Linked DNA regions of Canis lupus familiaris. The protein of the gene in region 1 interacts with the protein of each later gene in a pairwise test. Links are inferred from orthologs where the notes say so. Each region holds a gene or a part of one and is shown on either strand. Other genes may lie near its edges. The genes, in order: EWSR1, MAPK1IP1L and PLSCR1.

Evidence for each region.
Region 2: the proteins of EWSR1 (region 1) and MAPK1IP1L interact in binary tests that used the Homo sapiens proteins (3 or more experiments, as listed by UniProt). The link is inferred for Canis lupus familiaris from reciprocal best matches to the Homo sapiens genes EWSR1 and MAPK1IP1L.
Region 3: the proteins of EWSR1 (region 1) and PLSCR1 interact in binary tests that used the Homo sapiens proteins (3 or more experiments, as listed by UniProt). The two-hybrid records come from large-scale screens. The link is inferred for Canis lupus familiaris from reciprocal best matches to the Homo sapiens genes EWSR1 and PLSCR1.

Annotation. Positions count from the first base shown.
Region 1 is NC_049247.1:23,014,133-23,017,347, reverse strand, and holds part of EWSR1 (RNA-binding protein EWS), read right to left. Parts: intron 1,261-3,215; coding exon 1,131-1,260; intron 304-1,130; coding exon 181-303; intron 1-180. UniProt on the Homo sapiens protein: Binds to ssRNA containing the consensus sequence 5'-AGGUAA-3'. Might normally function as a transcriptional repressor. EWS-fusion-proteins (EFPS) may play a role in the tumorigenic process.
Region 2 is NC_049229.1:31,204,971-31,209,394, forward strand, and holds the start of MAPK1IP1L (MAPK-interacting and spindle-stabilizing protein-like), read left to right. Parts: upstream 1-1,491; 5' UTR 1,492-1,642; intron 1,643-1,996; exon of another isoform or gene 1,997-2,206; coding exon of another isoform or gene 2,207-2,218; intron 2,219-2,524; exon of another isoform or gene 2,525-2,548; intron 2,549-2,781; exon of another isoform or gene 2,782-2,803; intron 2,804-2,819; exon of another isoform or gene 2,820-2,843; intron 2,844-4,424.
Region 3 is NC_049244.1:42,190,609-42,194,955, reverse strand, and holds the start of PLSCR1 (phospholipid scramblase 1), read left to right. Parts: upstream 1-1,461; 5' UTR 1,462-1,640; intron 1,641-1,682; exon of another isoform or gene 1,683-1,754; intron 1,755-4,347. UniProt on the Homo sapiens protein: Catalyzes calcium-induced ATP-independent rapid bidirectional and non-specific movement of phospholipids (lipid scrambling or lipid flip-flop) between the inner and outer leaflet of the plasma membrane resulting in collapse of the phospholipid asymmetry which leads to phosphatidylserine externalization on the cell surface.

The DNA.
Region 1 (3,215 bases):
GGGTCTCCAGGATTGCACCCTGGGCCAAAGGCAGGCGCTAAACTGCTGCGCCACCCAGGGATCCCCCTTTTAGTACTTCTAATGGGTCTTTCTACACTCTAGAATTCAAGTTTCTCAAAGTTTACCAAAAAATATTCAGAGCAACACAGAAGCAGCTTAGGGAAGGTGTCTGGTAAATACCTCCACGGAGTGGCGGTGGCATCCCTCTGCCCTCACGGGGAGGCATACCACCCCGCATGCTGTTCATTGGAGGTTTCTTCCGAGCAAGAGAAACCTTAAGTTTGCTTCCTTGAAAATCTTTCCCTGAAACAAGAGAACAGAACACCATTACTCCCAACTTCCAACTCTTCCCTCCTTGAGGGATTAGGCAAGACTAGAGTACTCCTTGCTCACAAACTCCACTACAGTCAACCACCCCCAATGGTAGCATGTGCCCCAACCACAATCTTCTCTAAGACTGTCGCTGGCAAGGGCATTCTCATTAAAACTCCTTCAAAAGATACCTCCCAAACCCCCTGTACCCTAAGGCAGAAAATAAGCCAGGAGAATGCTGAGTGCACTGGCACCCTTGCCCCGAAAAAGGTGAGAAGTAGGGCAAGTATGTAAAGTGGCCAAGAGATGAGAGCCAGGAACTGTCCTTTGACATTTTCAAGTCAGTTTTGTCTGTGGTGGAATTCCAGAATTAATGCCAAGGCTAAATATGTATATATTTAAACTCATTTGAGTTTCATATTGTTTTTTTATGGAGTGATCTGTACTTTCTGATAACTTGCTTATTAGAGAGGCATTTACAACTTTAAGCAAGGTGGATTTGTAATAATGACTAAAAAAATGAGGGCTCTCCAAGTCCAGGGCCAGAAACTGGGCCCTCTTATGGCAGAAGGGAGCCATCCAATGCTCCTCCAATGCAGACAGTGGGTCTTCCTGCTTCTATGGCTCTCAAGTTCCTCCCTTCTGCAATGTGTTATAGTGACACAGAGGAAAAATACATCTGTCCCTTGTCCCTAAAACCATTTCAGAAAATGATATTCTAACAGAATTACATCCATTAGCAAGACCCTTCATGCGTCCCAGGGCAGGCTGAAGTGAAGGACACCAATGAGTACCCCTGTCAACTCTAGGGCTCTTACCATCAAACCACTCCACAGCAGCCTTGGCAGTTGGTGGGTCTTCATAGGATACTGTAGCATCACCTTTGGGCTTTCCTGTTTCCTTGTCCAAGTAGATATGGATCATGGGTTGTCCGGTTCTCTTGTTCATCTAGGCATAAAATAGCATAGTTAAACTGTGACCAGAAACACACTAACACTCAGAGAAGTCCCTTGAATTGTCAAAAGCTGTACTTTTTCAGACACACATTCGGTAGGATGTGTTTATCTCCAAGTAGTGAATTATGCATGATTTATTTCCTAAAGTGCCACAATAAATACATACTTAGGTCATTTTTTCTCTTAGGTGTAGGTGTCATGAAAACCACAATAGGCCTCAGGTTCCAAAGTGTGTAAGTGCTAACAGTATGCTTCCCATTCCTTCTCTAGCTGTCATCTCCTGGTGTCCTTGTATCTGACTCAACATTTTCTGTACCCACACTAAAGGGCACCCAGTGAAATAGCCACCTCTTACGAGGCAGTCAAGCTTTGATGCCATCACACAAACCATGTCTCACATAAAATAAAAATCACCCTTAAGTCAGTAAGTATAGTACATAGGGTTCTGAGTGTACTAGCAGCATTCTTTTTTTTTCCCCCAAAGATTTTATTTATTCATGAGAGACAGAGAGAGAAAGGCATACACACAGGCAGAGGGAGAAGCAGGCTCCATGCAGGGAGCCTGATGTGGGACTCGATCCCAGGTCTCCAGGATCACACCCCGAGCTGAAGGCGGTGCTAAACGCTGAGCTACCTGGGCTGCCCTGCTAACAGCATTCTTTTTTTTTTTTTAAGATTTTATTTTTATTTTTTTAAAAGATTTTATTTATTTATTCATGAGAGACACACACACACACACACAGAGAGAGAGGCGCAGAGACAAAGTCAGAGGGAGAAGCAGGTTCCATGCAAGGAGCCTGATGTGGAACTCGATCCTGGGTCTCCAGGATCACACCCCGGGCTGCAGGCGGTGCTAAACCGCTGTGCCACCAGGGCTGCCCTAAGATTTTATTTATTCATGAGAGACACAGAGAGAGGCAGAGACACAAGCAGGCTCCAGGCAGGGAGCCCGACGCGGAACTCAATCCTGGGTCTCCAGGATCATGCCCTGGGCAGAAGGCAGGTGCTCAACCGCTGAGCCACCCCAGGGATCCTTTCTAACAGCATTCTTAAAATCCAACACAGCTAATTTTTCCTCCAGAGCTAGAATGCACCATTAGCTTTTCAGCTGAACACCAGATACAACTGGCTTGATTTCAGGAGCCACACTATAATACAAGAATATGGCTTCATCTGTTTTCTGCATTAAAAGTACATTATGATCAAAGTTTAATTTATACATGTTGGTTATATAACACCTAGTGATACCTAAGAGTATTGATTTATATATATATATATATAAAAAGAAAAGAAAGCTAGTCAGGATGCCCGGGTGGCTCAGCAGTTGGGCGCCTGCCTTTGGCCCAGGGCGTGATCCTGAGTCTGGAGATCGAGTCCCATGGAGACCTAGGATCAAGTCCCACATCAGGCTCCCTGCATGGAGCCTGCTTCTCTCTCTCTCCCTGTGTCTCTGCTGTCTCTGTGTCTCTCATGAATAAAATCTTAAAAAAAGCTAGTATTTGTAAGACATACATACTAATGCTATGTTTTTATAAAGAACATACATGCTGAAAAATATGGCAAAATGGTGGTATGAATGATGGGGCTATTTTTAAAATCTCTATTTTACAAAACTGATAGTATAATTTTTAATTTTTATTATTATTATTTTAAAAAGATTTTATTTATTTATTCATGATTTGGGGGGGGGGCAGAGACACAGGCAGAGGGAGAAGCAGGCTCCACACAGGGAGCCCGATGTGGGACCCAATCCCGGGATCCTCACGCCCTGGGCCAAAGGCAGAGGCTAAACCGCTGAGCCACCCAGGGATCCCCCCCTGCCTTTTTATTTTATTTTATTTTATTTTATTTTTTTTTTAATTTTTATTTATTTATGATAGTCATACAGAGAGAGAGAGAGAGAGAGAGGCAGAGACACAGGCAGAGGGAGAAGCAGGCTCCATGCAC
Region 2 (4,424 bases), on another chromosome or scaffold:
GGCTCAGTCAGTTAAGCATGATCCTTAGGGCTTCCGCCCAAGGGCTCAGGTCATGATCCCCTTTCTCTGCCGCTCTCTTTCAAATAAAATCTTAAAAAATAAAATCAGGGGCACCGGCAACTCAGTGGTTGAGCATCTGCCCAGGTTGAGCATCGTCATCCTGGGGTCTGGAGTCCTGGGATCAAGTTCTACATTGGGAATCCCAGCTCAGCGGGGAGCCTGCTTCTCCCTCTGCCTTTTTCTCTGCCTGTGTCTCATGAATAAATTTTTAAAAAATCAGAATTAAAACAACAACCTAATGAAAAAAGGTCAAGATTTTATTTTTTAGGATTTTATTCATGAGAGACACAGAAAGAGGCAGAGATATAGGCAGAAGGAGAAGCAGCAGGCTCCATACAGGAACCCGATGGGGGACTCGATCCCGGAATTCCAGGATCACCGCTCAGGCCGAAGGCAGACGCTCAACTGCTGAGCCACCCAGGCGTCCCAGGTCAAGATTTTAAATATAGTTTTACTGACGTCTGCTGACTCAGGATTCCTTATAGCTCCATAAGGCATTACAGATTCACTGCCTCCTGACGGCAGGGTAAGTTGTTCACACTAATGTCATTTTCCATAGACCATTTTCCCTGTCCAAAAATAGGTCTTCCCCAGGCTTGGGTATTTGCAGTTTCTCTATTGCCTCTTTTCCAGTAGGAGAAGTGTGGGTTCTGGTGGAGCATACCCAGGAATAAGTCTTCCTTTAAGACGTTTCTAATAAAATGCCCCTGCCCAGTGACCCACTAAGGGGTTACCCAAAGAAGCAAAATGTACTGATACCGCATATTTCTAGTGTAGTTTTACATATAAAAATCTATGTACATACTGTATGTATATACATTTTGCACACTATATAATTACGGCAGATTCCTTGACAGCCGGGGGAATGTGTCAATCATCCTACAGACCTGACCCAAAGTAGGTAAAGGTTCTTTCAAAGATGAACATGTGGGGCCCCCTTCCCCGTATGGCTCCTGTAGCGCTCCCCAATTTCGGCCCGAGGGCCGGGATTCACTGGTTGGCCGCATTCACAGCCAGCCGGCATCCAAGCCCGGCTGTAAAAATCTCTAAGCGTAGGAAATCCAGAAGCAGTCCTCAAACCAGTCCAGGAAACAAGCTAGCAGTTTCCGCCGAGGTGCCCAGAACGTCACTGGCTACAGGCATTTCCTCCGAGGGCTCAGAATTCCGGAAAACCGGGGAGCGGTCCTCCCTCCCGCGGGAGGAAAACAGCCGCCCCGGGGCGAGCGGGAGGAGCAGCCGCCCGGCCCCGCCCCGCCCCGCCCCGCCCCGCCGGGCAGGCCGCAGTGCAGCGCGAAGCCTGCGGGGGGCGCCCGCGGCCGCACCCGGCCCGGGGAGGAGGGGGGAGAGCGCGCGGGGGCGGCGCGCTCGGCGCTTCCTGTTCCGGCGCCAGGAGGAGCCGCGCGCTGTTAGTGCTGCCGCTGCCGCCGCCGCCGCCTCCGCCTCCGCCGCCACCGCCGCCGCTGCTGCCGCCGCCACCGCCGCCGCCGCGCTCGTCAGTCAGTCCGCGTTCGGTTCTTCAGCACCCGATTCCCCCGGACCCATCGCCGCTTCTAGACTTTGCTGCGGGCTCGGATCTGGCCGGGTGAGGCTGCCTCGGCGCTAGTGGGTATCGTGGAGGGGGGCAGGGGAGCACGCCCAAGCGGGAGACGGGCGCGGTAACAGAGGAACCTCGAGTCGCCTCTTCAGGGGCCGGGACTAAACGTCGGCCCCCGCCATCTTCCCTCAGGCTGCGAGGTGCCCCCCGATCGCCCCCCGGGAGGAGGCGTCGGAGGCGGCTGACGTCGCGCCGGACGGGTTTCTCCGCACTTGACGTCAGGCCGGGTTTGGGGGCGGGGCGGCGAGAGGGCCCGGCCCCTCCCCCACCCTCCCCACCCCCACCCCTTTCCGGGCGGCGCGACCCGCTCGGCGGCCGGTTCGCTCCGGTTGATCCCGGACTCCCTTTGTTCGTTGGGCCCTGAAGGCTTCCCGGCTCGCGCCCCCTCGGTCCCCTCCCCCATTCATTAATTTCTAATAAAACGGGAGCGAGGGGCCTGAACAGCCTTGGAGGAATCTGGCACTTGTTTAATCAGATTGTCCGCCGTGTGACAACGTTCCGGTCGTTAGTTGCCGAAGGAGTTGCTACACAGATCCTATTCGACGAATACACATGACAGAAGCCGTGAGTTCGGCGACACTCTCTTTCTTAGGATTTGGGGGCTTGTGTTACGCATGGAAGCTTATAAATAGCTGAGCCGTTTCCTCTTCGAAAACCAAAAGCAGTGCTTTTACTGGTTAAAAATTTCTAATGTTGAGGCATCAGACCGTATTCCCCTGACGGGAAAAAAAAAAAAAAATTACTGCTGAAGAAATACACACTCTTACACACCTGATGGTTGTGAAGGCATGTTCTGTAAAGGAGCCTCCTTTTACAGGCCAAGGTAGCCTTCGGAGAGCTTTCAGAAGTTCTTTGTTCGGCTGTATTCACTGGGCAGCAACAGGAATTTTTCTGGTACTGGCGTCTCTGAACCTCCTATTTAAAACTAGTTTGTCTCAGCGACTTGAGTTGGGTTGTGTGTGTGAGAATGTTCTTTTCTTCTCTCCAGAAGGAACAGAGAGAGACCCATTCCTTAACTGCAAGGCTCGGGGCCGGTATGTTTTGGAATTCAGCAATCTTCGAATTGTGTCTTTAGATTTTAGAAAGAGTAAGATGCGTAGGCCAGAGGTGTCACCCTCACAAGGTCCCAGCAGCATCCCTGAGACTACGGTAATAATGGTGCAGGGATAGGCGTGACTTCATGGAAACTGTAAATATCCTCAGGTCACGTTTTGCCACCCAACTAAGTTTTATGCCAAATTCTGGAATTTTCCTTTTCTTTTCAGAAGTTTCCAAATCGAGAACTGCAGATAAAGGTTTGCAGGCCTGTGACCGCGATTGTAAAAGTTAACGTTTGTTGAGTTTTCCTTGAGTGCCAGAGAGAGACCAGGAGATTTATTTTGTCAGTCTGGGGGCAGGTCTGCAAGGTGGATACTACTCCTGTGTACTTAAACCTCTGGAGTTTGAAGAATTCAACCTGTCCATCACCTGCCAGTGAAGAGCTAGGGTTTTATCTACGCAGCCATAACTTTCAGGGTCATTCTTTTAATCTCTGCTGCCATGCCCATGTAGGAAGAAAGACAAGGGAATATATATCTGTTGCCCATCCACTATTTTTTAGAGCACTGTTATTATAGACACTTAATTTATGAATACCATTTAGTCTTTCGCATCACTAGCCCTTTTATAGTTGAAGAAACTGAGTCACTGGGGTGAGCTGAATCTGATTGAGACATTCAAACCTCAGTTTAAAGGCTCTCTGCTAAAACTTCTATCCCTCCCCTCTCTGTATTCCAACCAATTCGAACTGCTTATATTTCCCATAGCGTATTCTTGCCTGCTTTAGCTTTTGCACGGTCTGCTCTTTCCCGGGGCCTGTCCCATCATCCCCTACTGCCAGCTCTTCATTGTTCTCCCAGACTGCAAAGGAACCTCTTCTCAGGGTTCCTCCCCTTATTCTCCTTTCCTTGATTCCTTTAGGTGCCCTTTAGGTACTCAACTTGGTGCCCTGGGCTTACCCAAAGTAAGGTAGTTACTATTTAAAGGATAGTTCAGGGGGGTTCCTGGGTGGCTCAGCGGTTTACCACCTGCCTTTGGCTCAGGGTGTGATCCTGGAGTCCCAGAATGGAGTCCTGCATCGGGCTCCCTGCCTGGGGCCTGCTTCTCCCTCTGCCTGTGTCTCTGCCTCTCTCTCTCTCCCTGTCATGAATGAATGAATAAATAAATAAATAAATAAATAAATAAATAAACTTTAAAAAAAAAAATAAAGGGTAGTTCACCAGATTGTGAATTCCTTAAATGTCTATTCTGTGTAGTACTCTTCATTTCCCCAAAGCCTAACAAGACAGTGCCTGGTGTGTATATTCCAGGCATAAGTATAAAAAAAATGATACTTTAAAAAATTATGTCTTTTGGGACGCCTGGGTGGCTCAGCAGTTGAGCATCTGCCTTCAGCTCCAGTTGTGATCTCAGAGTCCTGGGATCAAGTCCCCACATCGGGCTCCCCGCGGGGAGCCTGCTTCTCCCTCTACTTGTGTCTGCCTCTCTCTGTGTCTCTCATGTATGAATAAATCTTTTAAAAAAATAAAAATTATGTCTTTCAAAAGCTTAAGAATATTCAAAAACTTTACTAAGTCCTCAGTTCCTTGAGTTGTCCAAATGTAAAATGGAATGTATCTGATAAGAGAGTCAATAATAAAAATGATCAAATATTCTTTTTTTTTTTTTTTTTAAGATTTTATTTATTCATGAGAGAGGCAGAGACGTAGGCAGAGAGAGAAGCAGGTTCCTT
Region 3 (4,347 bases), on another chromosome or scaffold:
CAGAAGAACAGAATGACGGGTTTTCTGTAGTGTATATACACATAAGGATATGTGCAAGGTTGATGACTGTAGCATAATTTGTAATTATAAAACAGGAAATAAACTGCACCCAGATGATTAGATCGAGACCATTCAGTATCAGAGGCAAGGGGATTTCTAAGATGCATCCTAAAGGAGAAAAGAACATGCCCCAGATAACAGTCTGCATGAAACAATCTTCTTTATGTAAAGAAACACTACGTACATGTGTGTATATATGTGTGTATATATAATGATATTTATTCAGCGCTTACTCCTTAGCAGGCATCACTCTAAACTTCTTGCATATTTTAACTTCTTCAATCCTCATAAAAATATTATGAGACGCATACTACTACTACCCTCACTTTACAGATTAAAAAAGAGGCACAGAGATAGTAATTTGCACAAAGTCACGGAGAATGAGAAGGGATTCAGATCTAAGAGGCAGGTTTCCCCCCTCCTTTTTACTTCTTTTCTCAATTTCATTTTCTATTGCTCTCCCTTCCCACCCCCTCTTCCTTCCTCCCGCCTACTTCCTCCCTTACTCTTCAAGTATCTGTTGCTAGGGTCATGGGAAGAAAAGGAGAGGAGAGCTGCCCAAGACGCCTTTCGCTTTATTTATCCATATTCAGCTTTATTGTTTGGAAGATCCTGTATTACTTTTGTAAATAAAACACTTTAAGGAAAAAAAAGAATCAATGAATCCTTCAGTTTAAGCAATATGAGTTCGTTTGTGTGTGTGTGTGTGTGTTTTTTTCCAATATGAGTTTATTGAGCCTGTTTGCCAGTGGCGGGGGTGGGGGTAGATGGCAGAAAAATTAAACACTCTAAACACATCTAGTCAGTTTGACTCTTAAAAGTTAGCAGCCTTGGGGACCCCTGGGGGGCTCAGCGGCTTAGCATGTGCCTTCAGCCCAGGGCCTGATCCTGGGGTCCCGGGATAGGGTCCCACGTTGGGGTCCCTGCAGGGAGCTTGCTTCCCCCTCTGCCTGTGTCTCTGCCTCTCTCTCTCTCTCTCTCTCTCGAATAAATAAAATCTTTTTTAAAAAAAAGTCAATGTGTAGTTCATAATAAATAAATAAATAATAAATAAATAAATAAATAAATAAATAATAAATAACTAGCTAGCTAGCTAGCGGCCTTTGGTGGAGAATGAGGGATGGGCGGAGAGAGGGAGAGACAGACACTGAGAGAGCCAGACGGACAGCGAGCCAGGACGGAGAGAGCTAAAGAGAAGAAGCCGCATGAAGAAAAGCGAGCTCGACCCCGGGCCGTTTGCACCCGCAGCGGCGCTGCAGGCTCCGGGCGGCGGAAGCTCCCGGGAGGCCCGCGCCCCCACCCCACCCCGGCGGCCCCGCCCCCTCCGTGACTCCCGGGGCCCGGCTGCCCCCGCCTCCCGGCGCCTCGCTGCCCGGGGCCCCGGAACAGACGTCAGGGCCCGCAGGGCGCAGGGGGCGCAGCGGGGCCAGCGGCGAGCGCGCGCTCGGGGCACCTGCAGGGGCGTGGACGCCGCCACCGGGAAACGAAACCGTCAGACCTCGGCGGCGCAAGGTCGCTCCGAGGTTCCGGGGCCTCGCCCTTGGCAGCATCCGGGCAGCATCCGCACGCGGCGGCCACAGGTGGGCGGGCGGCGGGCTCCCGGCCAGGCGCGCGGGGGGGGGGGGCGGGAGGGCTGTACCTGTGCGGGGCGCGCGGGCACAGGCTGGGGGCCGGGGTCCTGGCGGCGGCCACAGGTGGGCGGGCGGCGGGCTCCCCGCCAGGTGTGCGGGGGGGAAGGGGGCGGGGGCAGGGGGCGGTACCTGTGCGGGGCGCGCGGGCACAGGCTGGGGGCCGGGGTCTTGGAGCATCCGCACGCGGCGGCCACAGGTGGGCGGGCAGCGGGCTCCCAGCCAGGCGCGGGGTGGGGGGGGCTGTACCTGTGCGGGGCGCGCGGACACAGGCTGGGGGCCGGGGTCCTGGCGGCCCGGGGAGCGACCCCCGAGCAGCGACCCGCCTGCGGCACCCCCCCCGCCGGGCCCGCCCCAGGGCTCAGGTTTGCCCGCGCCCCGTGGGTGAACACCTGTCCGCGGCGCTGAGAGTCTGAGCTGCGGCTGCCGGCAGCGTGCGGGGGGTGCGGGGGGTGCGCGGGGGGTTAGAAGGGCGATTCGCAGGCCCCTCGGAGCTGTCATTTAACAGTGAGTATTCACTACTGGGAAGGCTGCCCCCCCCCCCAAACTGTGCGAGCCACCTGGAGCTCCGCGCGCGGGGGCAGGAGGGAGGCAGGTGCTTTACCGCCCACAGGGGGACCCTAGACCCGAGGCTCCCGAGTCCGTCCACCTGCCTGGGTGCACCCCCCGCCTCTGCTACTTAATTCCTGCGGACTCCGACCCGTTTCTTCATCTCTGGACCTTGCTGGCTCCATCTCTGAAATTGCGTCAAGGTCAAAAATGAGTTCCGAGAGTTAAGAGTAGGATACTTAACTAGTGTAAAAGCTGTTGTCGGAGCTGTGTCCCGCGCTGCAGAAAGTTCTCATTAGGGTTAGCTTTTGGTATTTTTTTTTTAAGATTTTATTTATTTATTCATGAGAGAGAGACAGACAGAAGCAGGCGCCCCGAAAGGAGCCCCATGCGGGTCTCGATCCCGGATCCCGGGGTCACGCCCTGAGCCGAAGGCAGACGCTCCACGCCTGAGCCACTCAGGTGTCCCGCTTTTAGTATTTTTAATAGTAAAGTCCCTGCTTCTCCGAGATTATTATCTGGCTCCCAGGTGGTTTTATTTAGACAGAGATTCCTGGAAGTGGTAAAATAGCTACTACCCAGCTCCAGGAACAGGCAGGTATTGTTTCTCCTGGTTTAGCAATTTGAGAAACAGGATTAGTACAAGTGTCACTTCCGTAGAGGAAATTGTCAAACGATTTATGATTCCCTTTATCATCCTTGAACTTTCTTAATAGCAGAACTTTCTCTTAATACCATGCTCGCGAGCAGGACAACTGCAGGGCTTTGAACACTGAATAAACGCAAGGAATGAAAATTAAGGAAAAGGGAAAATGAGTGGATTTCTGCAGCTGGATAGAAAAGGTGCATGTAAAATAAATAAGTGGCTGAATCTGAGACGAAGCAGCCTTCACATTTGTACGGGAGCTGTTCTTTATGGGAAAGGAGGGAAATAAAACCCTACACATCTTGTTCAGTCAGCAAGCACCAGTTAAGTGCCTTGTCCTGGACAAGATAGTCCATACTCTGGCCTTTGAGAACATAGAACGCAGGTAGAGAGAAACTACGTTAAAACTGTCCTACACTTCTCTATTCTTTTGTCTGATCTCTCCCCCCCCCCCCTTTTTCTTTTTCCTGTAATCCACAAACCTTTCATTTCCTTGAATTAGTCAATCTCCCTCTAGCCACAGGACTTGTGCCAGTTGCCTCTGCAATGCTTCACTTCCCCAACCCCCATCCATGGCCTAGTTGATTTTAGACAGCCTTTGGCTCTCAGATTCAAAGTAGGTCAGGGACAAAGAGTTCTGTCATTGTCTTTATTTGCTAAAATAATTCAGAACATATATCCACATCGTGGGCCTCAGAAAAATGTTAACTGATTTGTTGTTAAACAATTAAGAAGTAAACATGGATCGATGATTCAAATATAGGTTATGCCTGGTTTATAGGCATACTAGTCTTAGGAGCTATCAAAACTAGGGATGCTTCCTTTGGGCTCCAGATTGTACATTAATATTTTTCTGAAAGCAATAAGAGAAATTTCAGGACCCCCAAGAGATGGGTCAAGGATTTCACTGTAAGATGAGTTCTGGAACCATGATTGATGTCACCTGCATTATTTCTCTTCCCTGATGGAAGAGGTTTATAATTTTCAAAGAGCCCAGAGCAGCAATGGGTCTTATGGTATCTGATGGAATAATTTTACCAGAAATATACTTATATGAATATAGTATATGATGCACTAATCTCTCATTTAACTGAATTAGGAAGAAGGGTATAGGGCAGCCCGGGTGGCTCAGCAGTTTAGTGCCTTCAGCCCAGGGCGTGATCCTGGAGACTCAGGATCGAGTCCCATGTCAGGCTCCTTGCATGGAGCCTGCGTCTCCCTCTGCCTGTGTCTCTGCCTCCCTCTCTCTCTCTCTCTCTTTCTCTCTCTCATGAATAAATAAATAAAATCTTTTTTTTAAGAAAAAGAAGGGTATAGTATTCAGATTATAATTTGAATTTATACATTTGTCCTGAAGTAATTAAGATTCCAGTGGTACAATATATATGACTTCCTTAGATTTTTTTTTTCTTTTAGTACAGGATAAATATGATGTTCTTTTCCCTGGAAGTTTTTCTAGGACTT